Sus scrofa: one gene and its partners. The protein of the gene in region 2 binds, or shares a complex with, the protein of the main gene of each other region. Links are inferred from orthologs where the notes say so. Each region holds a gene or a part of one and is shown on either strand. Other genes may lie near its edges. The genes, in order: POLR3F, CRCP, POLR3K, POLR3E, POLR3D, POLR3G and POLR3C.

Region 1 (3,500 bases), on a different chromosome or scaffold from region 2:
TACATTTACTTATTTGCGTAAGTAGATGTAAATACACAAATTTTAGTTGTGACAGTTTTCTCAGACTTTCCTTGTTATTGATGAATTTATCAGTTTTGAGAAACTCACCTGAATGGCAAAAATTCTGTAGAATGTCCCTTAACTGGGATTTGTCTGATTAGACTGGAAAAAGGACCACAGAAGTAAAGTGCCCTTCTCATATTTCAGCAAGGGTACCTGAGCAGCACCAAGTGATGACTGACTGTCATCAATAAAACTTATCAGGAGTTCCTGCTGTGGCTCAGCAGGTTAAGAACCCTACATAGTGTCTATGAGGATGCGGGTTCAATCCCTGGCCTTGCTCAGTGGGTTAAGGCATTGCCGCAAGCTGCGGTGTAGGTTGCAGATGCAGCTTGGATCCATTGTTGCCATGGCTATGGGGTAGGCCAGCAGCTGCAGCTCTGATTTGACCCCTAGCCCAGGAATTTTCATGTGCTGCAGATGAGGCCACGAAAAGGAAAAAAAAAAAAAAAAATATATATATATATATATATACACACATATATATATATAAAACGTATCAGCATTGACATTACAAATTGATCACCTGATCTGGTGGTGGTTCTCAGTTTTCTCCACTGTGAAGTTACTTTCTGCCGCCCTTTCCATTTGTGGAAAGAAGCCACCATGCACAGCTCAGACTTAAGGACTGGGAGTTATGCTCTATTTCTTTGAGGATGGAAGGTCTACTAAATCATTTGGAATTCTTCTGCATGGGAGATTTGTCTGTTTCCTCCCATTATTGACTTATTCAAACATCTTTATCAGTATGGACTCATGAATATCTATTTTATATTTTGGGTTACAATCTAATACTGATTTTTGATTTCTAGTTTGAAACTTTGAAAACATCATGCTAGGTGAAAGAAACCAGGCACCAAAGACCACATTAAATGTTCAGAAAAGGCAAATCTATAAAGACAGAAAGTATGCTAATGATTGTCAAGGCTTGGGGACAGGGAGGCTAGGGAGTAGCTGCTAGTGAAGTCACATCTTAGGGTGATGAAGATATTCTAAAATTAGAAGAGTGTGATGGTTGCAGAACTCTGAATATATTACAACCCACTAAATCTCAATAAAGCAGTTACTAAAAAATATTTAAAAAAAAATAAGACACTTGATTGGCAACATGAAGCATGAAGCCAGGCATGGGTATGTAGGGATTCACTTTGTTATTTTACATACTTTTGTATATATTTGAAATTATTCAGTAAAAATACAGCAGAGAAATAATATTCTTTTTTTTTTTTTTTTTTTTTTTTTGTCTTTTTGCTATTTCTTTGGGCTGCTCCCGCGGCATATGGAGGTTCCCAGGCTAGGGGTCGAATCGGAGCTGTAGCCACCGGCCTACGCCAGAGCCACAGCAACGCGGGATCCGAGCCGCGTCTGCAACCTACACCACAGCTCACGGCAACGCCAGATCGTTAACCCACTGAGCAGGGGCAGGGACCGAACCCGCAACCTCATGGTTCCTAGTCGGATTCGTTAACCACTGCGCCACGACGGGAACTCCCAGAGAAATAATATTCTAAATGAGGGAGTGGTATGATAACTATCATTGATAAATAAAATCACTGATGACTATCAAATTCTTATATGCTGAATTTTGTGTTCAAGCACTTTATTTTTTGGCCACGCCTGTGGCATGTGGAAATTCCTGAGCCAAGGACTGAACCTGCACCACAGCAGTGACAAAACCAGATCCTTAACCCACTGAGCACCTGCAGCATGTGGAAGTTTCCAGCTAGGGGTCAAATCGGAGCTGCAACTGCCAGCCTACACCGCAGCCACAGCAACACCAGATCTGAGTCGCATCTGTGACTTACACCACAGCTCATGGTAACACTGGATCCTTAACCCACTGAGGGAGGCCGGGGATCAAATCCACATTCTCATGGATACTAGTCAGATTCATTTCTGCTGCACCACAACGAGAACTCCATGACCTACATTTAAAAAAATCTTTTTTGGTCAGTTGTTTTAAATCATGACATAGCTTAAAGAACAATAAGAGCCTGAAATATACTTGGAGAAATACATGTACAGTGAACGTTCAGGGGAAGAAAAGAGAAGACTACTTACTGCCACAGACTTAACAGCTTTGATAAGCTTTTTACTTTCTAGATTCTTTAGAATTTTGTTAATTTCTGTCAATGGCAAGTTGCTTTTGTATCGGATATCTCTGCTCCATATTCCTATAAGAAAGTAAAGTAAAATAAGTTGAACATTACAGGATTTGTGTTTCTCTTCCCATTGCTTATATCTCATTACAAATCTAGCAAAATACATATATATGTATGTGTACCTAGGGCAGAGCTATAGGAAAAACGACTAAGAGGTAAGAACCTCAGACAGAGTAACAAAAATATTCAACACAATACAGAAATTATATGTTCTATTTGCTAACTGGAAATTTCTTGAAATGCTAGTGTGGCCCCTTTTGAAAATCATATAAAAAGGACATTTTTATAATGTTAGAAAAATCTTGAATATAATTGAATTAACTTGTATTGTTTTTTCCATGCCCTCCTGCACTCTAACCCCTTTTTTGTGGAAATTTCACTTTAGACTGTTTATGTGAAAAACAAAATTAAGTTTGGGCCAGGGTGAACTGCCATTCTCAATATAGAGCAAAAAAAAAAAAAAGCTCTTTATGGGAGCATCTGTATGCATGTATGTCCATTATTTATACAACATTCTGTTTGGAAAACAGAAAGATTATACTTCTTATGGTCACTAAAGGCCTGTGCAGAAAGCTATGATTTTTCTTTCAAAGAAGGAAATGTGTTACATAAAGAGAATTTATGTAAAGATATTTTGCTGCATTTTCTTCCCAGCATAAAGGCATGAAATAGGAAGAATATTTTATTTTTTGTCTTTTTGCCTTTTCTAGGGCCACTCCCTCCGCATACGGAGGTCCCAGGCTAGGGGTCGAATCAGAGCTGTAGCCTCCGGCCTACACTAGAGCCACAGCAACATGGGATCCAAGCCATGTCTGCTACCTACACCATAGCTCACGGCAACACCGGATCCTTAACCCACTGAGCAATGCCAGGGATTGAACCTGAAACCTCATGGTTCCTAGTCAGATTCGTTAACCACTGCACCACGACAGGAACTCCCCAGAAGAATATTTTAAATAGAGAATGATTTATTCATATTTGTTTTTATTTATTTTTTTTTAATTTTAGGGCTGCAGGTGCGGCATATGGAAGTTCTCAGGCTAAGGGTTGAATCAGAGCTACAGCTGCTGGCCTACACAGCCAGATTTGAGCTGCATCTGCAACTTACACTGCAGCTTGTGGCAATGCTGGATCCTTAACCCACTGAGAGAGGCCACGGATTGATCCTGCATCCTCATGGATACGAGTCAGGCTCATTTCTGCTGAGCCACAATGGGAACTCCTGTTTTCAAAATGTTAATTTAACTTTCTAACATATATAAAAATCACATGATTTCA
Region 2 (3,963 bases):
TGTGACCTACACCACAGATCATGGCAACGCCGGATCCCCAACCCCCTGAGCAAGGCCAGGGATGGAACCTGCATCCTCGTAGATACTAGTCAGATTCATTTCTGCTGTCCCACAATGGGAAGTCCCTCAATGAACAATTTAAACTGCAGCACTGTCTTAGGAGCTAGCAAACAAATTACCTTCTTTTCTGTCCTGTTACTGAATTGCTTAAGGACCTCTTAGCTAACTTCTCTAAATCTCAGTATTTCCAGCTATAAAATGAAGGAAATTCTGATATTATCTCAAACAGATTATAGAGAAGAGTCCATTCTCCCTATGTATATTAAGTTCAAGAGTAAAAGAATGGGAGTTCCCTCTGTGGCACAGGGTGTTATTAAGGACCCAGCATTGCAACTGCTGTGGCTTGCTGCTGTGGTGCAGGTTCGATTCCTGGTACTGGAACCTCCATGTGCCACAGGTGAGGCCAAAAAAATTAAAATAAAAGAATGAACAGAAGGAGTTCCCACTGTGCTACAGTGGGTTAAGTATTCAACTGCAGTAGCTTGGGTTTCCACAGAGGTGAAGGTTCAATCTCTGGCCAAGAGCAGCGGGTTAAAGGATCCAGCAGCATTGGAGTTCCCATCGTGGCTCAGTGGTTAACGAATCCGACTAGGAACCATGAGGTTGTGGGTTCGATCCCTGGCCTTGCTTAGTGGGTTAAGGATCCAGCATTGCCGTGAGCTGTGGTGTAGGTTGCAGATGAGGCTCAGATCCTGTGTTGCTGTGGCTGTGGTGTAGGCCAGCGGCTACAGCTCCGATTAGACCCCTAGCCTGGGAACCTCCACATGCCGTGGGAAGCAGCCCTAGAAAAGACAAAAAAGTAATAAAATAAATTAAATAAAATAAAGGATTCAGTGTTGCTGCAGCTGTGGCACAGGTCACAGCTATGGCTTGGGTTCAATTCCTGGGGCAGGAACTTACAAATGACATGAAGCCATAAAAATTTTTCTGTGTTTTTGTCTTTTCTAGGGCTGCACCCACAGCATGTGGAGGTTCCCAGGCTAGGGGTCTAATCAGAGATGTAGCCACCAGCCTAGGCCAGAGTCCCAGCAACTCAGGATCGGAGCCAAGTCTGCCACCTACACCACAGTTCATGGCAACACCGGATCCCTAACCCACTGAGTTAGGCCAGGGATTGAACCCATAACCTCAAGGTTCCTAGTCGGATTCATTAACCACTGAGCCACAACATCAACTTCCTCGGCCATAAAAAAAAAAAAAAAAAAAAAATCAATGAATAGAAAGTGGAGTTCCCATGGTGGCTCAGCATAAACAAACCTAAGATAGAGGATGGCAAAATCAATTTAAGGAGTCAACATTCTATTTTAATAGAAGAGACTACTAGAGTTACTGTATACAACACTGTCTCAGGAAGCTTTCACTTCAGATACATATACGTATTGTGGTTTTTTGGGTTTTTTTGGGTTTTTTTTGTCTTTTTGGCATTTCTTGGGCTGCTCTCACTGCACATGGAGGTTCCCAGGCTAGAGGTTGAATCGGAGCTGTAGCCACCGGCCTATGCCAGAGCCACAGCAATGAGGGATCTGAGCCGCGTCTGCAACGTACACCACAGCTCACGGCAATGCCGGATACTTAACCCACTGAGCAAGGCCAGGGATCGAACCCGCAATCTTATGGTTCCTAGTCGGATTCTTTAACGAGCGCCACGACGGGAACTCCAACTGCGTGTGTGTGTGTGTGTTTAAGTCTGCAAAACAGTACATATAAACGTGAAACATGAAGTAAAAGAACATAAAGGAAAATGTCAGGATTAAACAATCAGAGTTCCTGTCCTAGCTCAGCTGCAATGAACACGAGAAGTATCCATGAGGATGTGGGTTTGATCCCTGGTCTCTAGCCTGATAACTTCCATAAGCCACACCTGTGGCCCTAAAGAGCAAACAAAACATAAACATGTTGCCAAAGAGAACGCAACATAGGTATAAAAATCCACATACAAAGTAGCTGCAAAAACTTCCCTCTGCACGCAGTACAAGGAGCAAACATGGAAAAGCCGATGTGGAGTTACAATTGTTAGAATGGCTTCTACTCCTAGCCCCCCACCCCAACCCCACACGGCTACCTGCTTCTTAACTACTTTGCAGAGCACCTCCTCTGAATCCGGGCTCCCCAGAAGCCCACTGCTCCTAAGCAAAACTCTACTCCAGCATTTCCCCACCTCTCCTCCAGGTACTTCCAGGCCGGACCCAGGGTTTAATAAGTCCCTGCTCTCATACCCAGCTCCCCACCGCGACCTGGCGACGCTGTTGAGTGCGTGAGGGAGGGAACAGACACCTGGCACCCCTAAAGGCAGCCGGGCCAAGTGGCCCTCGCCCCACGTCCTGAGCACGCGGTGGGAGAGGGGGCGAAGGTTCAGAAGGCCGGAGGGAGAGTCCCTTCCTAGCCTCCTGGCCCGCCGCCCTCCCCGCCCGCCCGGACGAGGAATCGCCCCCGGCCCACATCTCCCGGCTCCCAGGAATTAGCCGTCCCCAGCTCTGAGCGTCGCCCTTGAGCCGACGACGCGCCCCGGGCGGCTTACACTTCCATGTCGTCCCCGCCTCGTCGCCTTCGGCCGGACACAGACCCTCACCGCCCATCCGCTGCTCTCGCCGCCCGAGCAAAGCGCCCGGAAACCGACTCCGCGGACCGCGGTGCACGCCGGGATCGCCGCGCTGCATGCCGGGATCCTGGAGGACCCCCGTGGGGCCGGGGGCGTTGCTGGCTCGTCTTCCCGACCCGTCTCTGCGCTCTTGGTCCGACCTCAGGCTGTCAAACGTTTGCAGACGGATTTAGCTCACGTTTTCGTGGTCTAGGGTATATCCAAGTATTAATCCAAAGATGTAATCGGATTCGTAGGCATTTGCAGCGTTAAAATCCCACCCCTTGGATAGTAGCGATGGCAAGGGGCGAGGTGGCCTTGGGCTGCTGGACATGCTCTCTTTCAGGATCTGGACGCCGAGTAGGTGGTGCTTCTGAAAATTCGGTGGGCTGTAGCTTATGTGCACATTTCTGTATGTGTGTTATAATGGAATAAAACGTTCTAAAAGGTGAAAAAAAATCTCAGACTCCCTTCTCCCTGTTCCCATTCTTCACTATTTGTCAGAAAATTATGAAGAGACTTCTTGACAGTCTCTGATCTGGCCTTTCTAAGAATTTGCCCAAATGGAATCATCAGATGCTTGACGAAAGATCAACGTGTAATGATAATTTTGCTGGGAGATAGCCTACATACCCAACAATGGAAAATTGATAAATCGTGTTTCAGCCATACAGTATGCAGTACGATATATGTGGCCCAAGTAATCTTGTAGCATATTTGATATGCTGGGGAAATGCTCAAGACAGATTTTTTTTTTAAGATGGAAAATGATGTGTTGTGACTCTAATAATCTAAAGAAAAATAATGCATAGGGGAAAAAAGACCTCAGGGTAAGGGTGATACAGCCACCTAATCTATGAAATTTTGTGTCTTAAAAAAAAAAAAAAAAAAAAAGAGTTCCTGTTGTGGCTCAGCAGTTAACAAACCCGACTAGCATCTATGAGGACTCAGGCTCTATCCCTGGCCTCACTCAGTGGGTTAAGGATCCAGTGTTGCCATGAGCTGTGGTGTAGGTCACAGACACGGCTCTGGCGTAGGCAGGATGTTACAGCTCCTATTCGACCCCCTAGCCTGGGAACCTCAAATGCTGCAGACACAGCCCTAAAAAGACAAAAAGGAAAAAAAAAAGTGGAAGGCTGATGTCTATTTTCTTCTGAATTTTTAGTATGTTTGAAGTATTTGGAAGGAAATATGCCAAAAATTAAAAATGGCTGGTGTCTTTAGGTGATGAATCAATTGCTAATTTTTCCACTTTTTTATAATTATATCAGTTATCATTTACTAAACACTGTCTCCTTGATAAGCGTTTTGTTATTCCCTGATAT
Region 3 (4,140 bases), about 25 Mb from region 2:
ATTTTCATGATGGGCAAAATACAAAGATTTAAAAACAGGAGTGTGCCAGGTCATACTGAAGCCTGAGGAGAATGGAGAAATCTTTATTATTTTTCATTTTTTTGGTTTTTTAGGGCTGCACTGGCGGCATATGAAGGTTCCAAGGCTAGGGGTCTAATCGGAGCTGTAGCCACTAGCCTACACCACAGTTCACAGCAACGCCAGATCCTTCACCCACTGAGCAAGGCCAGGGAGGGGTCGAACCTGCAACTTCATGGTTCCTAGTCGGATTCGTTAACCACTGAGCCATGATGGGAACTCCAGAAATCTTTAATACTGGTCTTTTTATCTGACATGATATCATTTTGTTTACCCTAGGTCTTTATAAACCAATGTTGAGTTTTAAAAACACTGTACTGGAGTTTCCATCCCTGGCCCCACTCAGTGGGTCAAGGATCCTGCGTTGCCCATGAGCTGTGTTGAAGGTCGCAGATGCCGCTCTGGATCCTGAGTTGCTGTGGCTGTGGTGTAGGCCAGCGGATTCCAGCCCTAGCCTGGGAATTTCCATATGCCCCAGGTGCGGCCCTAAAAAGACAAAAACAAAAAGCCGAAACAACAAAAAACCTCCTAAACCAACCAAAACACTATACTGAAATGTCATGTGTCCTGACTAGCGGGTTTTTGGCGCTCCTTTTTTATTTTTTTTTTGGCCATGCCCGCAGCATGCGAGAGTTCCTCTGCCAGTCGAACGCACGCCCAGCAGCACCCGAGCCACAGCAGTGACAATGGCGGAGTTCTTAACCGCTAGACTACCAGGGAACCCTTCGTAAATGCCGCGCCGGAGACCAGTGCCTCGCTCGCCTCCCAGGCCCAGTCGGAGCCTAGACCCTCGTTTACGCCCTGAGGCCGCTTCTGGAGGTCTCCGGGCCGCTGCCATCATCGGTACCCCAGAATCGGTCCTCTCCCTGACGCTGGGCTCCGGAGCGGGGGAAGAGGCCCCGACCCATGCGCACCTGGATCGGAAGGTCGCAGAGCAGCGGGTCCTGCACCACCATGGCCAGACCCTCTTGGAAAACGTCCACCGCCTCGGAGTGCGGCAGTGCCTCTTCCTCATCCTCCTCGTCCTCCTGCGGCTCTGGCCGTCCCGAGGCCCCCGCCACCTCCAGGGCGCCTCGCAGCCCGCGGGTTCCGCCCCCACACCGCCTCTCGCGACCCGGGCCCGGGATTCCCGGGCTTCCCGCGGGGAAAGCCACCCACGGCCCGGCCTTTGGTCGAGGGGCGGGGCTACCGCCAGGACCAATGAGAAATGATGCTTTGGGAGCCAGCCTGCCGCAGTGCACACTGGGAGTGCGGAGCCGACGTGCCTACTGGTGGGCTGATTGCTGAGAGGCGGCCGCCGGGACCAATGGGGAGTTCGGGGCGCCCGGAAGCCCCCGGAGTCCACGGCCAGGGAGCTGCAGGGAGCGTAGGCTGGGCTGTCGTGATGCTGCTCTTCTGCCCAGGCTGCGGGAACGGGCTGATTGTGGAGGAGGGTCAGCGCTGCCACCGCTTCGCCTGCAACACCTGCCCCTATGTGCACAACATCACCCGCAAGGTGGGTCCGCGCCGGCCTCCCGGCACGCAGGGCCGCAGCCGTCGTTCTCGCGGAGCGCGCCAGGCCCTGACCCTCACCTCCCCTAGCTCCGTCCTCTGCTTGGGTTTCGCGTCCCAGCAGCCTCTTGCCCGCACCGCCAGCCTCTCGGAGGCGCCCCGGTCTTGCCCAAGGCGCTGCTTCCAGGGTCTGTGCAGGAGTTTTCTGTTCTAGTCGCTCTTCCCCTAGGGACTCACTCGTTCCTGTCACTCCTGCCTGTATTTACCTAAGGGATTGTTTATATAAATGCGGCCTTTCCGTTCCCTAGTTTTATTTTTCATATAGGGCTCACTGCCTTCCAGTATACTTTCTTTTCTTTCTTTCTTTTTGTTTGTTTAGTTTTTGTTTTGGCCGCGCCCCCGGCACCCTGGCATGCACAAGTTCCTTGTGCTGGGGACGTGGCTCGGATCGTCATTGTCGAAAAATGAGGCACGTGAACACGGGGAGATCTCGACAAGGCTCTTTACTGCTGCAGAAGGGCGCTGGGCACCCCAAAAAGTGCGCGTGCCCCGAACAAAGGACCCTCCCCTGTTTATCCCTAACACAGGGGATGTACCCTGTCCCCTTCCCGTGGGTCAGGTCAGGGTGCACGTTCTTCCCAGTTGGCTAATTTGAAACAAACTGTTACTGGGAGAAGAGGGAAGGGGGGGGGGTTGCAGGAAGGCATTTCAGCAAAATGGAGTCACCAAGATTTCTTTTGCTTATGTCGCTTTCCACACCTGCAAACCTGCACCACAGCAGCGACAGAACCGGGACAGAACCAGGGCGGTAACCCGCTGAGCCAGCAGGGAACTCCCAAGTGCTACTTTCTCCTTAGTATTTGTATAGATTTGTATAGTGTCCTGCCATGTGGCCGTGTTGTGGGAGTTTAGGGTCTGAAACGACGCGGAGGGTGGACTCTTACCTACCCCGACAGGTCAAGGACGGCTGGTAGAACCTGGCAAGTGCTTAGAAAGCTCTGCCCGGAGCCTGGGGGGGGGGGGCGGCTCCCCGGCTGAGATTGCCCTTCTTTGGCCTCAGTTCTCTGGGGCCTCGTCTCGGGCTACCCAGCCTTAGGGGGTGTGGGAGAAGAGGAGGGCCATACCCGAGCCATGCTTCTCTTGCTCCTCTTGCTTTGTCCAGTCCTTGCAGAGACCTTCTCTTGGGGCAGTCCAATCATGGGTCCTCTAAGTTCTGATGGAGCAGGGCCTCTGCCTGTCCAGTACCCCTCCCGTCCGGGTTGAAGGGTGGAAGAAGCCAGACACCTGCGGGCAGGTGTGGTTAGGTGATCCTGGGGTGTGCGGTTCAGTCAGTTGGAGAGACTGAAGAGTGGCTGTTGTTTGTTAGGTAACGAATCGGAAGTACCCAAAGCTGAAAGAAGTGGATGACGTGCTTGGTGGAGCAGCTGCCTGGGAGAACGTCGACTCCACCGCAGGTGAGAGGGAGAGGCCTGTTCCCGGGCAGAGCTGTGGATGGTACGGGGCTGCTGACTCTGCCCCTCCGTGGCAGTCTGCTTGTGCTTCTGCGAAGAGGAAGTCTATATTTTCTTCCTTAATAATTTCTTAGAAATTTTTATTTATTCATGTGGTGGTTTTTTTGGTTTGTTTGTTTTTTGCTTTTTAGGGCCCCACCCACGGCATATGGAGGTTCCCAGGCTAGGGGTCTAATCAGAGCTGCAGCCGCTGGCCTCCACCCCAGCCACAGCAAGGCCAGATCCTTTACCCACTGAGTGAGACCAGGGATTGAACCCACAACCTCATGGTTCCTAGTCGGATTCGTTTCCGCTGCGCCACAACAGGAACTCCTTCCTTGATACTTTCTTTGTTCCAAAACCAGTGTCGGCACAAGCTTTGGAGCTGTTCAGACCTGATTTCGAATCTTGAGGTGGCTTACTGCCTTATGACCGTGACCTTTCTGGGCTACCTCCACATGCCACAAGTTCCCCGGCCAGGGACTTGGTCCGCGCCGCAGCCGCAACCCAGGCCGCTGCAGTCGGATTCTTCAGCCTCTGTGCCACACTGGGCATCCTTTTTGAAGTAACCGTGGGTCCCTTGTTTTTCTCACGCCAGAGCCGTGTCCCAAGTGTGAGCATCCTCGGGCCTATTTCATGCAGCTCCAGACCCGCTCTGCCGACGAGCCCATGACCACCTTCTACAAGTGCTGCAATGCTCAGTGTGGACACCGCTGGAGGGACTAGGGCCGGGTGGCCCCGCTGCCCAGCATCTGCTCACCTCATTCCCCAGGGCGGATTCCCAGCTGGAAGGGAACTGCGGGTTCTGAGCATCTTTGCCGGTGTGGCAGAAAGCCAGCCTTCTCAGAGTGGCCCGGCCGGGGGGCCAGGAGATGGCCCCCATCGCCCAGGCAGTGGATGAATTTGCTGACGTCCAGGGAGAACTTGTGTTTGGGGGCAGTGGCCACACCAAGTGCGTCTTATTTAGGGTCCTGTTATCCATCTTTCCCGTTTAGTGGGCAGTGAGCTTTCTCTCGCCACCAGCTGACGCTCGTAAACATTTATTTATATGTTGGCACACCCAAGAAAATGGGGCTTTGAC
Region 4 (4,188 bases), about 7.3 Mb from region 2:
TTAATCCGCTGAGCCACAACAGGAACTCTGAAGCGATGGTTTTTACCCTCAGTCATTAAAATTAAAAATACCGGTTACAATCCCTCTAAGTTGATTTCACATGCCACTAATAAATCTGGAACTGCAATTTAAAAAGTACTGCTCCAACTAGTCTTTCCTGCCTCCAATCCTCCCAGAAACAGCCAGAGTCGTCTTGCAGAAAAAGCAATCACATCATTTCTCTACTCAAAGCCCTTCAACTATCACATAGAATAAAATCCAAATTCCTTTCCGTGGCCTCAAGGTCTCATGTGAGGCTAAGCCCAAGTCTGCCCCAGGACCTTTGCACCTCGTCTATTTTCCTCCTTTCAAGGCTGACCTCTTTTCATTAGATACCATCACCCAGCCCCTCCAGGAGCAGAGAGGTTCTCCGACTATCCACCTTAAACAGCACCTCCGCCCTGTAACTGTTTCCAGTCACGACCACATTCAGGTTCTTATCACCATCTGGAAAAACCTAGTCTATTTGCTTCTGAGTTGTCTATCTTCTGCATTAGAATGTAAGCTCCATGACAGCCTCTCAGGGCTTCAACCACAAAAGTTGAAGCTGAGTTGATAGAGGGATTACTATCTTTTTAAAAAAATTCATGCTGATCTCCCAATATGTAGAACAGGACCTGGCATAAAATTATCACTCAATACAGTACACAAAACGCATACGTCAGGCAGCTACAGACCCTGTACCCAGTGAGTCTAGCTCAGCCCCACTGAGAGACTAGTGGCCTCATGGCTTGGGTCTCCTGGACACATGAGGATAGGGGTGTAGCCTGTCCTCCCAGGCCACCACAAGCTAAGCTTCCCTAGCAGGAGTGAGTGAACCCCTGGGCCTCCACAGGGTGACTTGTGGCCACAAGGGGACACTGTGGCTGTGGCTCCATGGTGCTGGGCACAGAAAACAGACCCCATCAGGGGTTTTGCTCGACAAATGGAAAGGGGACAAGAATGCCAGGTGAGCTAAGGAGGTGTTCAGAGCAGAGGAGCAGCCTGAAGGCCCCAGCCAGCTGCATCCATCTATGCTGTCCACCAAACTGAAAAGCAGAGGGGACTGCAAATAATCTCCAGCTCCTAGAGGGAGTGAGATAGGGTGAGGACAAGATGCTTCGGAGTTAAGGGGAAAGGCCCCTGGGCAAATAGTCTCAAGGTCCGGGTTCTTATTGGCTGTGTGCCCCTCCACACGTTCCCCCCCTCTTTGGGTCATCCCTTTCCACTTCCATTCAAGGGAAGGATAGCCTAGGGGCTAGAAGAATTACCTCTTAAAACTAGAGTCAGACCCTCCCTTCTCCAAGAACTTAAAATACATATTCCCATTTCTCTGCTCAATAGCCCTTTAAATCAAGATTTACCATCTCCAATTAAGAAAGCAGAAAACAAAGTTCAGAGTGTTAACTTACCCCAGGGTCACAGTGCTGGAGAACGGCAGAGCTAGGACACAAACCTAGGTCTAGCTGATGGCAAAAGATCCTTATTCTGGTTCTTAACTACTATGCTGCAGGCATCTTTAACAAAAAGCAGGATAGTACGGTGGGTAAGAGCATGGACTCTGAGGCAGAACTCTGTAAGTTCAAATCCCAGGTCTGCTGCTCGCTACCCTTGTCCCACCTGGAGCTGTTTGATCTTAGGACTGCTCGTTATTTTCATCCCTAAAATGGGGATAACAAAAGTACCGACCTCAGAGGACTGTGGTGAGGGTTAAATAAGGTATAAATGTAAGCCAAGGACAGGTTTGTTACAACTTGGCACATTTTCTTCCAATATAAAAGGGTAGGAGATCTAGCCAGGAATCAAAATGCTGTAAGCTGGGGCTTCTCCCGCCTTACCCTACTTAGTCCTCACCACAACCCTATGAGGTGGGGAATTCTGTTATCCCCATTTCACAGATAAAGAAATTGTGAAGCTTGCTAAGAGCTCTTTCTGCCCCCAAGCCCCAACGATTCTAAAGCTAACACAACAGAGCGACCTTGTTTATTTATTTACTGGTTTACTTGACGTGCTTACTGACACCTCTTCCGACCAAATGGTCAGGGCTGTATCAGCCGCCCGTAGTTGGTTTTCAATTAGCCCTGAGTGGTGGCTGGAATAAATGAATGAAGAAATCCGGGCCTGGCCGCGCGGAGGCTGCTCTGGTTCAGCAGCCAGGAGAGGGCCTGGGTATCCTCCCCCTGCCCATCAGGGCGGGCCGCCGGCCCCGAGCCACACTGTCCAATGGGTTTCGCCTCCCTCGCGGGTGGTCAGGCCCCCTTCTCACGCCCACCACGCAGCCATCGCTACGAGCCGCCACGCCGGCAGGTCACCGGCTGCCTTCGGACAGGTGCTCCCATAAGGAGGCCCGCCTGAGCCGGGCGGGGCAAGGCGGCTGGCCCCTGAGTCACCGCCGGCAGCCTCGGCCGCGGCCTCACCAACCACCGGGCCCAGCCGAGGTCGAAGCCCGCGGCCGGCCCAGGTCGACTGAGGCAGGTTGCCCGTCCTTCCCCCACCGAGTCCCGAGCGGCCCCCGGCCTCTGGGCACCGCGCGGCGCGGGCCTCCCGGCCTACTCCGCAGCCCAGCCCAGGCCCACCTCCTGAGTGCGGCCCGGCTCCAGCCCGGGCAGGCGCAGCCCACTCGGCACTCACCTCTCCGCGGGGCCCGCAGGCGGGCGGCTGCAACGGCCCAGGTACCCGCGGGCTGCAGAGGCGGCGGCGGCCCGGCTCTTCTCTCAGGCAGCGGCCATGTTGCCGGTGGAGAAACTCGGGCGGACACGTGGGGGGAGCAGGGCCAGCCCTCGCGCTTCCTTTTACCCACAATGCCCCGCCCCGGCGCACGCGGACCCGCCCCCCTCCGCCGCTCCATTCATGAGGTGAGCCAGCCCTTCCCGGCAGCAGGGGGCGCTGATGCTGGCGCAAAACAGCTGCAAACCGTCAAAAGATTGACCTTGGCAGCGGTGGGATTCGAACCCACGCCCCCGAAGAGACTGGAGCCTTAATCCAGCGCCTTAGACCGCTCGGCCACGCTACCCGGTTATGCAAAGTGCCTTCCAGAAAACTACTTCATACGTTTATGTGCATTTGCGTGTACGTTTCTTCTTCCGCTTAAGTGCTTTACTTCATCTTAATAGAACTATTTAGAATATACCAGGTACAGAAAATAAAATATTTCCTCTAATATTTAGACCAGTCTTGTTCCGAACCGATCTTAGAATGAAAAGCAGTTTAAGAATCTGTATTCTTAGTGGGCATTAAACCCGGAGACCCTAAATTAACCCACACGGAAGACATCATGGACTTCAGCAGTAACCTGCGCCAGGGGCTCCAAAAGCCAAACCAGGGGGATTTTCGAGTGGGCCGTTTTCTCTAAAAGCTCAGGTGTTTTCATTTTTAGTTACACAAGTTTTATGTGGGTTATTGCAAAATATTAAAATTTTTCAGACGAAGTACCAATGTTCTTTTACCTTTGTCCCCCATTGAAGTCCCTCCACTTAGTACACTGTGTATCCTTCTGGATCTTTTGCTGTGAATTTATATGGATATATACGGATATATTCATATGGATAGATATATCCATGGAGAGTGTTTCGTTTTTATCATTGTGGATTTTTACATGAATATAAATATTATTATACTATGATTATCTGCAGCTGACTTTTTTCACCCCACTATGTTTCTTAAATATCTATCCAGGTTGATACATATATAGATATTTAAAAATACAGAAAAAGCGCAAAGAAAAAACAATTATCCATACACCCACCACCTAACGTTGTGGCATTTCACTTTCAATTTTTTTCCTATGTATACTTTTTTCCCTACCTATATGCTTTTGTTATTAAAAGTACGAATATGTTGTCCTTTAAAAAATCCATTAAAAATATTAGACCATTACAAATAAAAATGGACTATTACAAATAAAAATAAAAGCCTCTTCCCAAATGTCATGAATTTGATGCGTATCCTTCCAGTCCACTTCTCATACTTTTCTATCCACCTGTCCACCCCTGTGTACATATACCCAGGAACAATATATACTATGATTTTTTGCTTTTCATTTATGTAAACCTTACTATATTGTACTTATATCATTCTGCCACTTGCTTTTCTACTCTAGTTATGTTTTTTCTATTTATTTTTGACAGATGTAGATCTAATTTATTCCATGCTATGAATATGGAATTTACG
Region 5 (4,143 bases), on a different chromosome or scaffold from region 2:
CAGTATTTTTTTAAAGCTTGCACATCAGAATCCCCTGGGAGCCTACTGACAGACCACTGTAAAAATCAACTACAATAAAAAATTTTTAAAAAATCCCCTGGGAGCCAGGGTTGAAAATAACTACTGAAAAGAACTAAATCTATCAACTTAAATTTCTCTTTTTTTCTTTCTTTTTATAAACTTAAATTTCTGAACCACATACCTACTTCCTTCCCCCAAAGCCCAAGTATGTAAATAAGGAACAAGTATTCAGAAGGTCTGGCTACTTACTCTTCCTTGATCTTCCGACTGATGATATTTGGGGTGAAGGTTTTCTGAAAGTAAAATACCGGAGTTACTGATTTGGTTAAGTTCTGATCCCAAAGCACAGAGGAAAATAAAAACTTCCAAAGGGCATTTTCTATGGATAAAGACCAGCAAGGTTTTATTCTACACACGCCACACCGTTGTCAAAGATTTACAGAAATGGGCATATGCTCAATTTTTTTTTTCTTTTTAGAGCCACACCCTCAGCATATGGAAATTCCCAGCAAATTCAGGCTAGGGGTCGAATTGGAGCTGCAGCTGTTGGCCTAAGCCATAGCCGCAGCGACACTGGATCCGAGCCGCATCTGTGTCATATACACTACCGCTCACAGCAATGCCTGATTCTTTTTTTTTTTTGTCTTTTTGGGTTGCTCTTGCAGCATATGGAGGTTCCCAGGCTAGGGGTCTAATTGGAGCTGTAGCCACCCGCCCACGCCAGAGCCTCAGCAACGCAGGATCTGAGCCGTGTCTGCAACCTACACCCGAGCTCACGGCAACGCTGGATCCTTAACCCACTGAGCAAGGGCAGGGATCGAACCCGCAACCTCATGGTTCCTAGTCGGATTCTTTAACCACTGTGCCATGATGGGAACTCCAGCAATGCCTGATTCTTAACCTACTGAGCGGAGCCAGAGATGGAACTGGCATCCTCACGGATACTAGTAGGGTTTATAGCCCACTGAGCCACAAAGGGAACTCCTGTACATGTGCTTGAAAAGGAAGAAAGTCACATCATAGTGGCAGTGGAATTACATATAGAAGAAACAGGCACCAAAAAACATTTAAACAGCAGCTTCAGCTTCTGCCCTCTGAAAGGAGAACTTCGGGACTTCTAACAATAAGGAAATTTCCCTAATCTCACTCCTTGTCTTCAAACTGCTACAGAGACCACGTAGTATCACAGGGAAAGAGCTCTAGCAACAAGGCTCCAGTAGGGAAGACAAATTAATTAGCACTCATAAGCAAATGACTGGGTCAGAAGGCCACTAGAATTTCCCAAAGTAAACTCATGCCTTCAAAAACTGGCTGCTTGGAGTTCTTATTGTGGCTCAGCAGTAATGAACCAGAGTCCAGCAGCTACAGCTCCGATTCAACCCCTAGCCTGGAAACTTCCATATGCCGAGGGTGTGCCCCCCCCACAAAAAAAAGACAAAAACTGTCTGCTTTATGTTCTGTCATCCTCCCCATCCCCCCTTTAAGGGCTATCCTTTACATCTACAGGCAATTAAACATAATACAAGGGGACAGAGCCTCTAACACCATGCCTAGGACTCATAATACTTTGGATCAGATGTCTGCACACTGGGAACCACAGCAAATTCAGAGCTCTTTAAAACTGCAGGCAAACTCTATGCCTGGGTGGCTTTCGCAGCTTTTTGGGTTTTTTTTTTATCTTCTTTTTAGGGCCACACGGCCGCACCCCCAGCATATGGAGGTTCCCAGGCTTGGGGTCAAATGTGAGCTGTAGCCACTGGCCTCCACCACAGCCATGCCAGATCTGAACCAATACTGTGACCTACACCACTGCTCACGGGCAACGCGGGATCCTTAACCCACTGAGCAAGGCCAGGGATGGAACCTGCATCTTCATGGATACTAGTCAGATTAGTTTCCGCTGAGCCGGGATGGGTACTCCTTTCAGCACTTTCTTAAGGATGTTCAAAACACACATAAAAAGGAAATGAACACTGCTCAAAGTGCTTTTGATCTAATTAGGATTCTCTGCTCTTCAGCCTTTTCTGAGAGCCATGACAACATTTTGTATCCAGTAAGTAGCTTGACTGGAAGGTAGGGGCAGGTTCCCCGATATTGCAGGCAAGATTCGTGAGGCCTAACGCTATGCCTGCCATACTGAAGGCCCTACAGGTACTTCAGTCAAAGGTGTCTGCAGTTTAGGGCATTTGGATTCATTTAGAATGGTGCCCTCGGGTACCTTCTTGACTCCTCCGAGGGTGAGGTCCCTGGAGCGGATGGAGGGAAGGCGGCCTGGGGTGAGGGAAGGCGCCGGCCTCCTCCCGATAAGCCCCCGGGCACCGGGCAGGAGGGGTCGGGACCCTCCTGGAGTGCTGGGATCGCCGGCGGCGTTTCCTTCCGACATGTTGCCTGGGGCAGAGAGAGGAAAGGAGTAAAGAAGTCACTGAAGGAGGAGGACATGCGGACCCTGGCCGGAACCCCACCCACGTGGCCTCCTGCCCCCCAGTCAGCGCGGCCCTCCCGCAGCGTCCCAGTTCCTCCTCCTCCCACGTGGCGAGACTCCCCGGACCACCCCCGCTAGAGCCCTTGGCTCGCTCTCTCCTTTGGTCCCCCCGGCCAGGCACCAGGCACGGACGCACCTCAACGCACCTGGGCTGCAGCTCCGCACCTCGCGCGTCCAGACTTCACATCCAATGCGACCCGCAGCCCACCCTAGGCCTCCGCGCCGGGCGGAAGTCTGCGTGGCAGGGCCCGGGCGCCGCCATCTTGCCGTGGGGCGGAAGTGAGGTCGGGGGGTGGGGCTGGGCCACACTATTTATCCCGCGGCTCCTCGCTCCCCTCCGCCTTCTCTTCCCGGTTCTTCCCGGAGTCGGGAAAAGCTGGGTTGAGAGGGCGAAAAAGGAAGAGGGGACTGGTTTAGGTTACGCCACGTTGCAGCGCTTGGGGGTCGTGCCCCGGAGCGTGAAGTGGAGCCGTTCAGCTCTGGGTCTGGGGGTCGGGCGGCGAACATGATGCAATGTGGGGATTCGCTGCTGTGGAGCATCCGGGTCGAGGCTCACGATGGGGCGTGGGACGCGGTGTAGAAAGCAAGACCCCCGACTCAGAATCGGGGAGTTCTGGGCCAGGCCTCGCTCTTGTTCAGGGATCCCTTACCGGGCACAGCGCTGGAGCAACTAATGCCTAACGGCACCTGCCCTGGCTTCGTGACTTTGGGCCGTTGTGTGCATTCTTGGTCCAATCCTGGAACCAGAAAAACGAAGTTTGCTCTACTGGGAGGGGCAATTTTAAATAACTTTTCTCGTGACTCCAACATTTGTAATTTAACCTAGAAAAAAAGATTCTCTACTGTCATTCCTCCCACCCCCAAATCATGTGAAAACCGTGTAACAACATTACAGAAAGCTTGAGAGAAGGAAGACTTTTGTTAGAATCACACATGGAGTAACTACTAAAACTTTTCTGCTATATTCCAATCCCCTTCAGAGATTTCTTATTGTACCACAATTTTGAATCCTCCCATTTCAAATAACCTTTCTTCGTTGCTGCATCAAACGACTGCGCGTAATTCTCATGAATTATCATGATTTGTCTGTTTTCCGGTTTGATCACTTAAATTATATCTTTTCTAGTGTTGTAAATAACAACGTAGTGAACACCTGGTGCATTTAAAATTTTTTATTCTTTTGGATTATATTCCTAGGGTGAATTTCCAAATTTGTGATACCTAGCCACAAGATGATGTACTTTTTTTTTTTTTTTTTTTTCTTTTTAGGGCCTCAGTGGTGGTATATGGAGGTTCCCAGGCTAGGGGTCTAATCGGAGCTGTTGCCGCCAGACCAGAGCCCCAGCAACACCAGATCTGAGCCGCATCTGCGACCTACACCACAGCTCATGGCAAGAGGGATCCTTGACCCACTGAGCGAGGCCAGGGATCAAACCTGCGTCCTCATGAATGCTAGTCAGGTTCATGAACCGCTGAGCGGCTACAGGAACTCCAAGATGCACTTTTTCTTAAGTAAAAATTTTTATTTTGAGATAATAGATACATATGCAGTTGTAAGAAATAATGCGAAGAGCCAAATTCTCTACTCAGTTTCCCCAATAGTAGGATATTGTAAGCCAGAATATCAACATTGTCAATCA
Region 6 (4,300 bases), on a different chromosome or scaffold from region 2:
ACACTACCAGGTTAGCTGAAGACCTTTTAAATCGCAGAGATGTCTTTAATCTTTACAATGAAGTGGAATAGTAATGACCAAATGGATTGGATTTAAAAATATAAAATCAGAGGCACCACCCTTCCATTCTGGGATGCTTTCTGAAAATTTCTGTTCAGAAGTGTTCTAAAATAGTTTGACAAGTGCAGTTCAAGCATCCAAGAGCTGAAATGCAAAAGCATGGAAACAATCTTGTGGCAGAGGTTGCGCTCATGCCCGAAATTCCTCCTAGCTCTAACCTTGTGAGTTATAATTGTGGCTTAAATGTATTGTCTTCCACTTCTCACAGTCTCTTGCACAAATTTGCTAAGTGAATAAACATATAAGCAGGTATGGATTCTGAGAGAGGCACTGAAAGTCTGGTCACAGTATCCTTCCTGATGAATGACACTTAAATTGCCCTATTCAGAAGCTGGTCCTGTTGACCTTGTCCTCGACTCCCTTGATATCCTCATTTAATGGTAGAAGACTATCAGTTCTGTGTCCCCTTTCACATATCTGCCTTTCTTCACCATCCCTGACCCGGACCAACCTTCCCATAGCCAGACTTCCTCTTTCAAACCACTCTCCAGACATCCCTCTAGAACATAAACCTTGATGTTTCACTCTCCTTCTTAAGCAACAGAGCTTTGGAGTCTGACTTTGTGCATCTGGCACCTTCTCCTTTCCTGACCACTCCCAAATCTGCCATATCAGCTCTTGCTTGTAGTGTTCTTTCTGCTGGGATGCCACATCCACCTGAGCAAGCCCCATCATCATTTAAGATACCATGCAAATGCCACTTCTCTGAGACCATTTCCTCCACCCTAAGTGGAGCTAGGCCTCTCTCTTTTCTGTCTCCCAAATACTACCCTGTTTTATTACCATTTAAAAAGCATGTTGTAATCATCAGTTCTTGTCTGTCTCCCCATAAGTTCTTCAGTTATCCTTCTTCAAGTATTAATTAAGCACTCTTAGGTCAGGCCATCTTCTATGAATTGGGAATATAATAGTGAATAAAACAAAACCCCTGTTTTCATGGTGCTTAGAGTCTACTACAGGAAAGGGAAAAAATATTTCATAGAAAATGTCAGGTAGTGATCAGTGATGTGGAAAAAAAAAGCAGGAAACATGGGTGCTATTACAGAAAGAGTGGTTGAAGAGGTCCTGTATTCTGTAATATTTGAGCACAAAACTGACAGAAGGAAAAGGCCATGCTGAGAATCAGGAAAGGATATACAAGGGAAAGTGTAATACAAGCAGAAGGATCTGTAAGTGTGAAGGCCTCTTTGAAGATTTATTCACCTCTTCCTGCCCCATCACCAACTAGAGCCTGGCAAAAGTCCAATAAAAATTGGATGAATTATTGCTGAGCTCATGGCTTAGTAAGAATATCACTCCAATTCACCTCCCTTTACCTAGAGGAAAAATAAAACTACAGAGAGCTCTCTACTTTCGTGCTGAGAACATCCTAACAACAGTGGTCTTTTAAGGCCAGCTCAAATGCCTCTACTCATCAGTCCCTTCCATGCATATTCTCATAGCACCTGGTTTTTACTTCCTCTGGGGTACATATCTCATTTGCTTTTTACTGCAAACATTTTTGTGAAGATATTGCTTCCCTCAAATTCCTGAGAACCCAGATCATGACTTTAAAAAAAAAAAAAAAACAACACAATTCTGTTTTTCACACATCATTTAGCTGAGGGACTTGTACATAAGGATAGCCCTGAACAGAGTGTCTGGATAAATTCTAACTAGGTTAGGTAAACATTCAGAAAAGTTGCATCCCCCTCAAAGACTTAAGGTTTATAGGGAAGGAGAGAACACCTCTCCCTCTATGAAGGCTTATTAGTAGCTGAGACAATAAGGGTTTTCATAATTATCTTTTATAATGCTGTCTCATGGGTCTCTTTATAATTTTTCCTGGCTGGATAGGGAGGTTAGTCGAGTTCTCAAGGGAATTGTTTAAGTCTGAATGGATATACCAACAGCGAGGAGCTGAGGGATGGGGACAGGGACCTTATGTTAATACTAGGGATGATTTTTTCAGCTGATGGGGCCACACCCAATCATTATCCACTTTTCCTGCCCTCACAAGGTGCAGCTGCCTCCACCCTTCCTTAGTTGAGCCTTTCTACCAACTTTCTTTGCTCTCTTCCAACAGCGGGCAAAGTAACCAAAACAAGGAAGGGGAGGGGAAGGAATATATAATTTAATTTTTCAGAAGAGAAGTAAAACCTTATCAACAACACCTCTCCTCACAGTACAGGGTAAAGTGCTAACGGTAAAAAACAAAAAACAAAAAACGTACTGAATAGTGCGTCCTTAGCAGCAAGTCTGCGGCAATGACTCGTGTTTGAAGCAATCATACCATCGGAATTGAAAATCAACCATCAGTAAAAGCATAAATTCCCTTCGAACTCACTGAAAACAGTCCTAATAAGTGGAGACAAGATAAAATCTGGAACGACGATTTCAAAAGATTGTGAAGGGATTAAGAGATCTCGCTACGTCCCTCAATCCAGAGGCTCTTTAATGAATCTCCACTCCTGCCTTCCCCGGTCTTTTCCACGTGCCCCTTTAACTCCCCCCCCTACTCATTCCATCTCCTCCCAACCCCTCCATTGCCTCCTCTGTTACCTGCTTACTAAGTCTCGAAGCTTGAGAAAACTGTGCGGCCGAAGTGCCGGCCGGCAAGGAAGGGGTGCGGACAGAAGGTTCCGACGCCGAGTGCTGGTTCCACCTCTGGAAAAACGCGCTCCGCCCTCCACGAGGCCTCAGAATCGCGTTCCGATCGCACCAGTTAGCTCCGCCCACTCGCTAGGTAGGCCCCGCCCTCTGGGGAGAGAGCTTTTTATCCCTTGGCGGGAACCGTACCGGTCCAACCTCCTTGGCCTGACTCTTTCTGCGCCGGCTGGAAGTGCGCATCACGGCGCGCGGTGTGTGGGCGGCCCTGGGGCCTTCCAAACCTGGCCCCTGCCCTCTACAGTCAAACACCTGGCGGTAGGAAGAGTGTCGCTTTCTGAATCCCTTGTCTACTGAATTGACGCTACTTTCTGCTGTGGCCTCTGATGCTGCGATTGTTTCTGCACCGGGGTGCAAGGAGATAGGTCTCTGTTCTTTGCGGACCGGGAGGGAGGGTGCGGAAGGCAGCGTCTCCGAGAGTCCTTCCTCCTCCCAGTTCTCCTCCCACTCCTTTTGCATCCCCCGCCCCCTTCTTGCTCTGCGCCTTCTTCCCGACTGCAGGCAGACCAGTCTATCCCGCCGCAGCGCCGGAGTCTGGGCAGCCTGCAGGAGGCACACACGCCCACACCCACTCCGCCTGGCCGCATCCCTACTCAGCATGTCGGCGCTCGAGTGGTACGCCCACAAGTCTCTGGGCGACGGTATCTTCTGGATTCAGGAACGCTTCTATGAGTCAGGCAACCGCGCCAACATCTGGCTAGTGCGAGGCTCGGAGCAAGACGTTGTGATCGACACAGGCCTGGGCCTGCGCAGCCTCCCGGAGTACCTGTACTCTTCTGGCCTTTTGCAGGACCGCGAGGCCAAAGAGGATGCGGCATGCCGGCCACTGCTGGCTGTGGCCACTCACGTGCATTTCGACCACTCCGGCGGCCTCTACCAGTTCGACCGGGTGGCAGTGCACCACGCCGAGGCCGAGGCGCTGGCTCGCGGGGACAACTTTGAAACCGTGACCTGGCTGTCCGACAGTGAGGTGGTCCGGGCTCCGAGCCCCGGCTGGAGGGCCAGGCAGTTTCGAGTGCAGGCGGTGCAGCCCACCCTCATCCTGCAGGATGGTAATGGCCCTTCACGAGCGCGCGCTCTCTCATTAAGGGAAGGGATTGGGGAGAAACTGTCCGAGGAGTGCTTGTTGCAGACGTGCGTGGCTGTAAGGGGCCTTATTTTGTCCCATCGCAGAAACACTACTTCTGTTTCACCCTTCCTGATTCAAAACCCCAGTCGACATCAGGTCGATGGTAGGCCGTCTTAGTCCTCCTTACCGGAGACCAGCTCTGGCACCGGGTAGCAATGCAGAGTACTCAAATGAGAGCCGGCCCCACCCCCTAGTCAGTTTCCTGTGTAACGTACAGCAATAACACCAACAGAGTCTTATATCTAGGATTTCCATTCTTTCCCCAAACATCTGTCCGACATTTTCAGGCACTTTTCTAGCGAAAAGTCTTCCTTAAAAGGAATGACGCCTCATGGAGAGTGCATGTCATGCTCTATGCTTTTGAGAACTGCTGACTTCATCTGCCCGGTTCACACCTGTAGGCTT
Region 7 (4,178 bases), on a different chromosome or scaffold from region 2:
AAGGCTTAGAAAAACACCTAAAAAGTCTTTCAAATGAGCCCTTTTCAAGAGCACTTTGAAGTGAGGACTTGAGATGGTAGGGAGAAAAGATACAGTAAGTGGAGGAAAGTTAGACTGTTTTCTCACTCTCAAAGGCAAACGGTGAACAGCAACTTAAAGATCAGAATAGCCAAGGCCTCACTGTTCATTAGGGCATCACATTCAACATGTCACTCATCACACATGCACTGGCTGAATTCCAGACTCCCTCTCTGTGGTAAGGAAGAGTTCTGGAGCCTCCAATGTCCACTGGAAAAACAAACAAACAAACAAACAAGCCACGGCACCTGCTCTTCTCAGCACTGAAGTATAGCAAAAAGCACACAGACACAGACACACAGCCAAATCATCCAAGCAAAACTAAAAGAGCGTGTAGATGAAACTACGACCATGAAGTTAGGGGTGGGGCAAATAGAGAAGAAAGAAAATACAGCAAAAGCCTGAAAAAGCACAACTCAAGTGAAAAGGCTAAAATACTGTTTAGGCACTTTTCACTGGACTCCACTGGTGTTTCTAAGAACTAAGACACAGAGACACACTTTAATAGGCTTTCTCACAGATTGTATCTGAGACACTATAAACACTGAGATAAGTAGTTACACAGACACCCTCTTAAGGCTGAACAAAGATACTTCTAAGGAAAAGAACAACCATAACTAGTTCTAAAGATGGTTGGCCAAAGGTAGGATTAACATTCACCCTGGTGGATCTCCCTGCAGTAGTAACTCAACCTAAAACAGCCTCTGGGCTTGGGGTGCAATAGCTGGCAAGCATGCTGCAGAAGCACTTTTTTTCCACAGCCAACAGCACTACCTCTCTAGGGGCTAACACAGTCTGGCAGAAACTGACGAAAACCAATTTTACGTCAGAGGATGCAGTCCCCAACATTCTGTCCTAGATCTTCTCACTAAGTGAAGAGAGAGAATGGGGGAGGGGAAGGAGGGGCGGGTAAGGCAGGTGGTGCTAAAGATACTGGCAGCATGACAACCAAAATAAGAGAGTTGAAAGAATATGTTCTGCCTTCTTCCTAAAGCCATTTCCTTCGACAGTGATTGGGATCGCAGTCCGCAAGTCATTAGTACACCGCTGTTTTCACTTTCACAAGAACGCTGGAAACCCCTGAAGAGTAAAATCCCCCTCTCTGCCCAGTTACCTTCCAACCCTCCCTCCCCCCCCCGCCCCGCTTTCTTCCCTCCTTCCCTAGAGACAATGAATAAAGACAATCCTCAGCAATCCGCTATATTGCTTCAATGAGGATAGTGGAAGGGGAGATCTGATGAAAAGTGGAAAAGGAAATAAAGATGAGAAGCAACAGCGGAAGGGGGGGGGAGGTCATTGTGGAAAGAGACAAGGTGAAGAAGAATGTAAGAAAACGGAGAGGAGGGGGTCAGCAGAAAACTTGCTAAGGAAAACCAGGAAAAAAAAAATAATAGAGGGCAGGTAAAAAGGGGAAAGAGTGAGGGACAGGTGGAGCATCCGAATGGAAAAAAGGCTGGGCGGGAGTTACTGAGCCACACAGCCCGGACGCCCGGGGTTTAGGAGACAGTGGGCAGCAGGTACCTGGGATACCCATGTCAGGGGAGTCGGGGCTGTGCGGGAAGCCTAAGCGCCGTTCTGGGACATCCGGACGAGGAACCCACGCGGACGCTGGCGTGCAGAGGACACACACTCTTACCGGTAGTTTGGGGCTGACCTCGCCCTTGCAAAAGTGGCAGAAAAACCGGTGCGCGGCAACAGCGGCGCCTGCGCCGGCCCCGGCCGCCGAGGCCTCCGCCATTTTTCTCTCCCGGCGCCGCCGTCCGAGAGGGCAGCCGGCCCGTCGCTCCCCAGGCCGCTACCTCCCGGCTACAAGAGACGCCTCTGCCTCCGCCGCCGCCGCTTCTTCAGCGCAGCTGGCCGCTCCAGAGTCCGCGCGGGTCACGTGAGCCCGCCCGGCCCACAAGGCGTCGGCGAGGACGGCGACCCCACGGCCCGCCTCCCGGCACCAAAGAGCTACAGGAAGGAGAGTCCGTCCGGCGCTGCCCTCCCGCCGGCTCCTCTAACACCCCTCGCCGGTCCTCCAACCTCCCAGCGAGAAGGAAGCAAGAGCGTCCCCGGAAACCACCGAAACGCTGGGGTAGAGCGGCACACGTTTTTCCTCTTTGCTGACCCTCCTCGTTGGCCGGGCTCCTGCGCAAAAGGGCCTTGGGGTGCCTTCTGCTCGAGCCGCTGGCTGGAGCCGCACGAGGTCGGCGGCGGCTTTAGATTGCATTGACCCAGAGGTTAGTGGAAAATGCGGTCTGAATGAGGCCGTTTCTCTAGACCCAGGGACCCAGTCCGGAACCGGAACCTGGGGGAAGGAAGTGTAGAATCAGGAGCCAGGTTCCTTGGAAATCCTTATCAAGGATGGCAGATGGTCTGGGGATACTTCCCCAAAGACCTGTGAGTGGGAATACTGAGACTGAAAGACACAGTCTTGGCTTCTGAGGGATTGGGAGAAATAAATGAACAGACCAGTGTGTGGTAGCACTTATGACAACAAGTGATTTTATAGTCAACTATGTTTGTTTCTTTTTGTGTCTACTTTGTCAAGGAGTAGAAATTTCAGAATACTGCCCTGCCAACAACATGCTTCATCTGTTGTTTGAAACACTCTGTTGAGACGCTCCTAATTTATTTTGCAAAGTTGTCATTTCTTACGGATTGGGAATGACACTTCCTGTTCACTCCCAATAGGCTGTGAATAGTGTCCTTAATTCCTCCAAATAAAATCATCTACACACGATATTTAAAGAAAATTGGACTCGTACATCCCATAAGGATAAGTTTGATATATTGTCTTGCAGTCTTTTTTTTCTTATACCTATAAGAAAAAAGGGGGTTTTTTTTTCACAATAATTTAAGTTTCTTCTACATTTTGCTTTGTAACCTGCTTCTTTCACTTAATGAACAATTTTGTACACTAATACATGTTACACTTCATTGTAAACATAGACGTAGTATGCCATTGTATGAGTCTACCATAATTTATTGAAATAATCCCGTATTGTTAGATATTATATTGTTTCTGGAATGTCAGTATTCTAAAGTGACATCATTATTATTCGCTTGAAACAAAATAGCCAAAGCAAAAGTATTAGGTCAAAGATATGCAAGATTTTAAGGCTTTTGACGTATCTACTGTCAAGTTGCCCTCCAAAAAGTACATGAATTTACACTTAGCAGCTCTACTCCAACATAAAAGAAAAACTTCCCATCGTGCTATTTTTTCTTTTCTTTTCTTTTCTTTTCTCAGGTCTGAGACTTCTCAGTACAATGACTCAAGCAGAAATTAAACTGTGTTCTTTATTGCTGCAAGAGCATTTTGGAGAGATTGTAGAAAAAATTGGAGTCCACCTAATCAGAACTGGCAGCCAGCCACTAAGAGTTATTGCCCATGACACAAGAACATCGCTGGATCAGGTATGTTTGGATCACACTAATTTGCTTTTATTTCATTAGTTTCCTTTACCTACCCTTGAATATTACTACTCCCCACCCCACAAAATACAAAAGAGAGCTACACTGAGATCAGAACAGTGTCATTGGGAGGGAGAGAGGATGAGACATAGTGCCTAAGGTTCTGCTTCTCAAAGCGATCTGGCTCACTGTGGCTTCTTAGGCAAACCTGTGCTTTTCATTTGCCATACTTCATTCATGCATGATGAGTCTATTAATTTCAGCACTACCTTTAAGGAATGGCAGTAACAGAGAGCAAGTAAGTTGTACTTTGTAAGATAAAGATCAGAGGAAATATGAGCTAGGAATCCTCCTGATTTCTTCATAAGATGAACAATGCGATTCTTAACAGCTATTCCAATGGAGAGAGAGAAGATGCACGGAGGTTCCAGCCATCTCCTGAAGTTTAGTAAATTGTTGGACAGAAATTGCCAACAATAATGAACTGCATTTTCCAATTTTTTTTTCTCTTTCTTTTGTGTCCTCTCTAGGTTAAAAAAGCCCTTTGTGTCCTCATCCAGCATAACCTGGTGATATATCAAGTGCACAAACGTGGTGTGGTGGAGTATGAAGCCCAGTGCAGCCGGGTGTTGCGAATGCTTAGGTATCCCCGGTACATCTATACTGCCAAAACGCTGTACAGTGACACTGGAGAGCTGATT

The links.
Region 1: CRCP (region 2) and POLR3F share a complex: the UniProt entries of both Homo sapiens proteins name them as parts of the RNA polymerase III complex. The link is inferred for Sus scrofa from reciprocal best matches to the Homo sapiens genes CRCP and POLR3F.
Region 3: CRCP (region 2) and POLR3K share a complex: the UniProt entries of both Homo sapiens proteins name them as parts of the RNA polymerase III complex. The link is inferred for Sus scrofa from reciprocal best matches to the Homo sapiens genes CRCP and POLR3K.
Region 4: CRCP (region 2) and POLR3E share a complex: the UniProt entries of both Homo sapiens proteins name them as parts of the RNA polymerase III complex. The link is inferred for Sus scrofa from reciprocal best matches to the Homo sapiens genes CRCP and POLR3E.
Region 5: CRCP (region 2) and POLR3D share a complex: the UniProt entries of both Homo sapiens proteins name them as parts of the RNA polymerase III complex. The link is inferred for Sus scrofa from reciprocal best matches to the Homo sapiens genes CRCP and POLR3D.
Region 6: CRCP (region 2) and POLR3G share a complex: the UniProt entries of both Homo sapiens proteins name them as parts of the RNA polymerase III complex. The link is inferred for Sus scrofa from reciprocal best matches to the Homo sapiens genes CRCP and POLR3G.
Region 7: CRCP (region 2) and POLR3C share a complex: the UniProt entries of both Homo sapiens proteins name them as parts of the RNA polymerase III complex. The link is inferred for Sus scrofa from reciprocal best matches to the Homo sapiens genes CRCP and POLR3C.

The regions. Positions count from the first base shown.
Region 1 is NC_010459.5:26,729,339-26,732,838, reverse strand, and holds part of POLR3F (DNA-directed RNA polymerase III subunit RPC6), read right to left. Parts: intron 2,235-3,500; coding exon 2,122-2,234; intron 1-2,121. UniProt on the Homo sapiens protein: DNA-dependent RNA polymerase catalyzes the transcription of DNA into RNA using the four ribonucleoside triphosphates as substrates.
Region 2 is NC_010445.4:16,619,206-16,623,168, forward strand, and holds the start of CRCP (DNA-directed RNA polymerase III subunit RPC9), read right to left. Parts: upstream 2,801-3,963; 5' UTR 2,587-2,800; coding exon 2,579-2,586; intron 1-2,578. UniProt on the Homo sapiens protein: DNA-dependent RNA polymerase catalyzes the transcription of DNA into RNA using the four ribonucleoside triphosphates as substrates.
Region 3 is NC_010445.4:41,570,389-41,574,528, forward strand, and holds the start of POLR3K (DNA-directed RNA polymerase III subunit RPC10), read left to right. Parts: upstream 1-1,340; 5' UTR 1,341-1,384; coding exon 1,385-1,573; intron 1,574-2,935; coding exon 2,936-3,023; intron 3,024-3,657; coding exon 3,658-3,785; 3' UTR 3,786-4,140. UniProt on the Homo sapiens protein: Core component of RNA polymerase III (Pol III) which synthesizes small non-coding RNAs using the four ribonucleoside triphosphates as substrates. Can mediate Pol I proofreading of the nascent RNA transcript.
Region 4 is NC_010445.4:23,877,832-23,882,019, forward strand, and holds the start of POLR3E (DNA-directed RNA polymerase III subunit RPC5), read right to left. Parts: upstream 2,801-4,188; 5' UTR 2,650-2,800; intron 1-2,649. UniProt on the Homo sapiens protein: DNA-dependent RNA polymerase catalyzes the transcription of DNA into RNA using the four ribonucleoside triphosphates as substrates.
Region 5 is NC_010456.5:6,519,670-6,523,812, reverse strand, and holds the start of POLR3D (DNA-directed RNA polymerase III subunit RPC4), read right to left. Parts: upstream 2,801-4,143; 5' UTR 2,650-2,800; exon of another isoform or gene 2,640-2,649; intron 2,410-2,639; 5' UTR 2,405-2,409; coding exon 2,240-2,404; intron 315-2,239; coding exon 271-314; intron 1-270. UniProt on the Homo sapiens protein: DNA-dependent RNA polymerase catalyzes the transcription of DNA into RNA using the four ribonucleoside triphosphates as substrates.
Region 6 is NC_010444.4:97,646,756-97,651,055, reverse strand, and holds the start of POLR3G (DNA-directed RNA polymerase III subunit RPC7), read right to left. Parts: upstream 2,801-4,300; 5' UTR 2,662-2,800; intron 1-2,661. Other genes in the region: MBLAC2 (metallo-beta-lactamase domain-containing protein 2), read left to right, coding at 3,365-3,818. UniProt on the Homo sapiens protein: DNA-dependent RNA polymerase catalyzes the transcription of DNA into RNA using the four ribonucleoside triphosphates as substrates.
Region 7 is NC_010446.5:99,491,338-99,495,515, reverse strand, and holds the start of POLR3C (DNA-directed RNA polymerase III subunit RPC3), read left to right. Parts: upstream 1-1,378; 5' UTR 1,379-1,714; coding exon of another isoform or gene 1,715-1,816; 5' UTR 1,817-2,300; exon of another isoform or gene 2,301-2,344; intron 2,345-3,308; exon of another isoform or gene 3,309-3,313; 5' UTR 3,314-3,333; coding exon 3,334-3,480; intron 3,481-4,007; coding exon 4,008-4,178. Other genes in the region: E3 ubiquitin-protein ligase RNF115, read right to left, coding at 1,715-1,816. UniProt on the Homo sapiens protein: DNA-dependent RNA polymerase catalyzes the transcription of DNA into RNA using the four ribonucleoside triphosphates as substrates.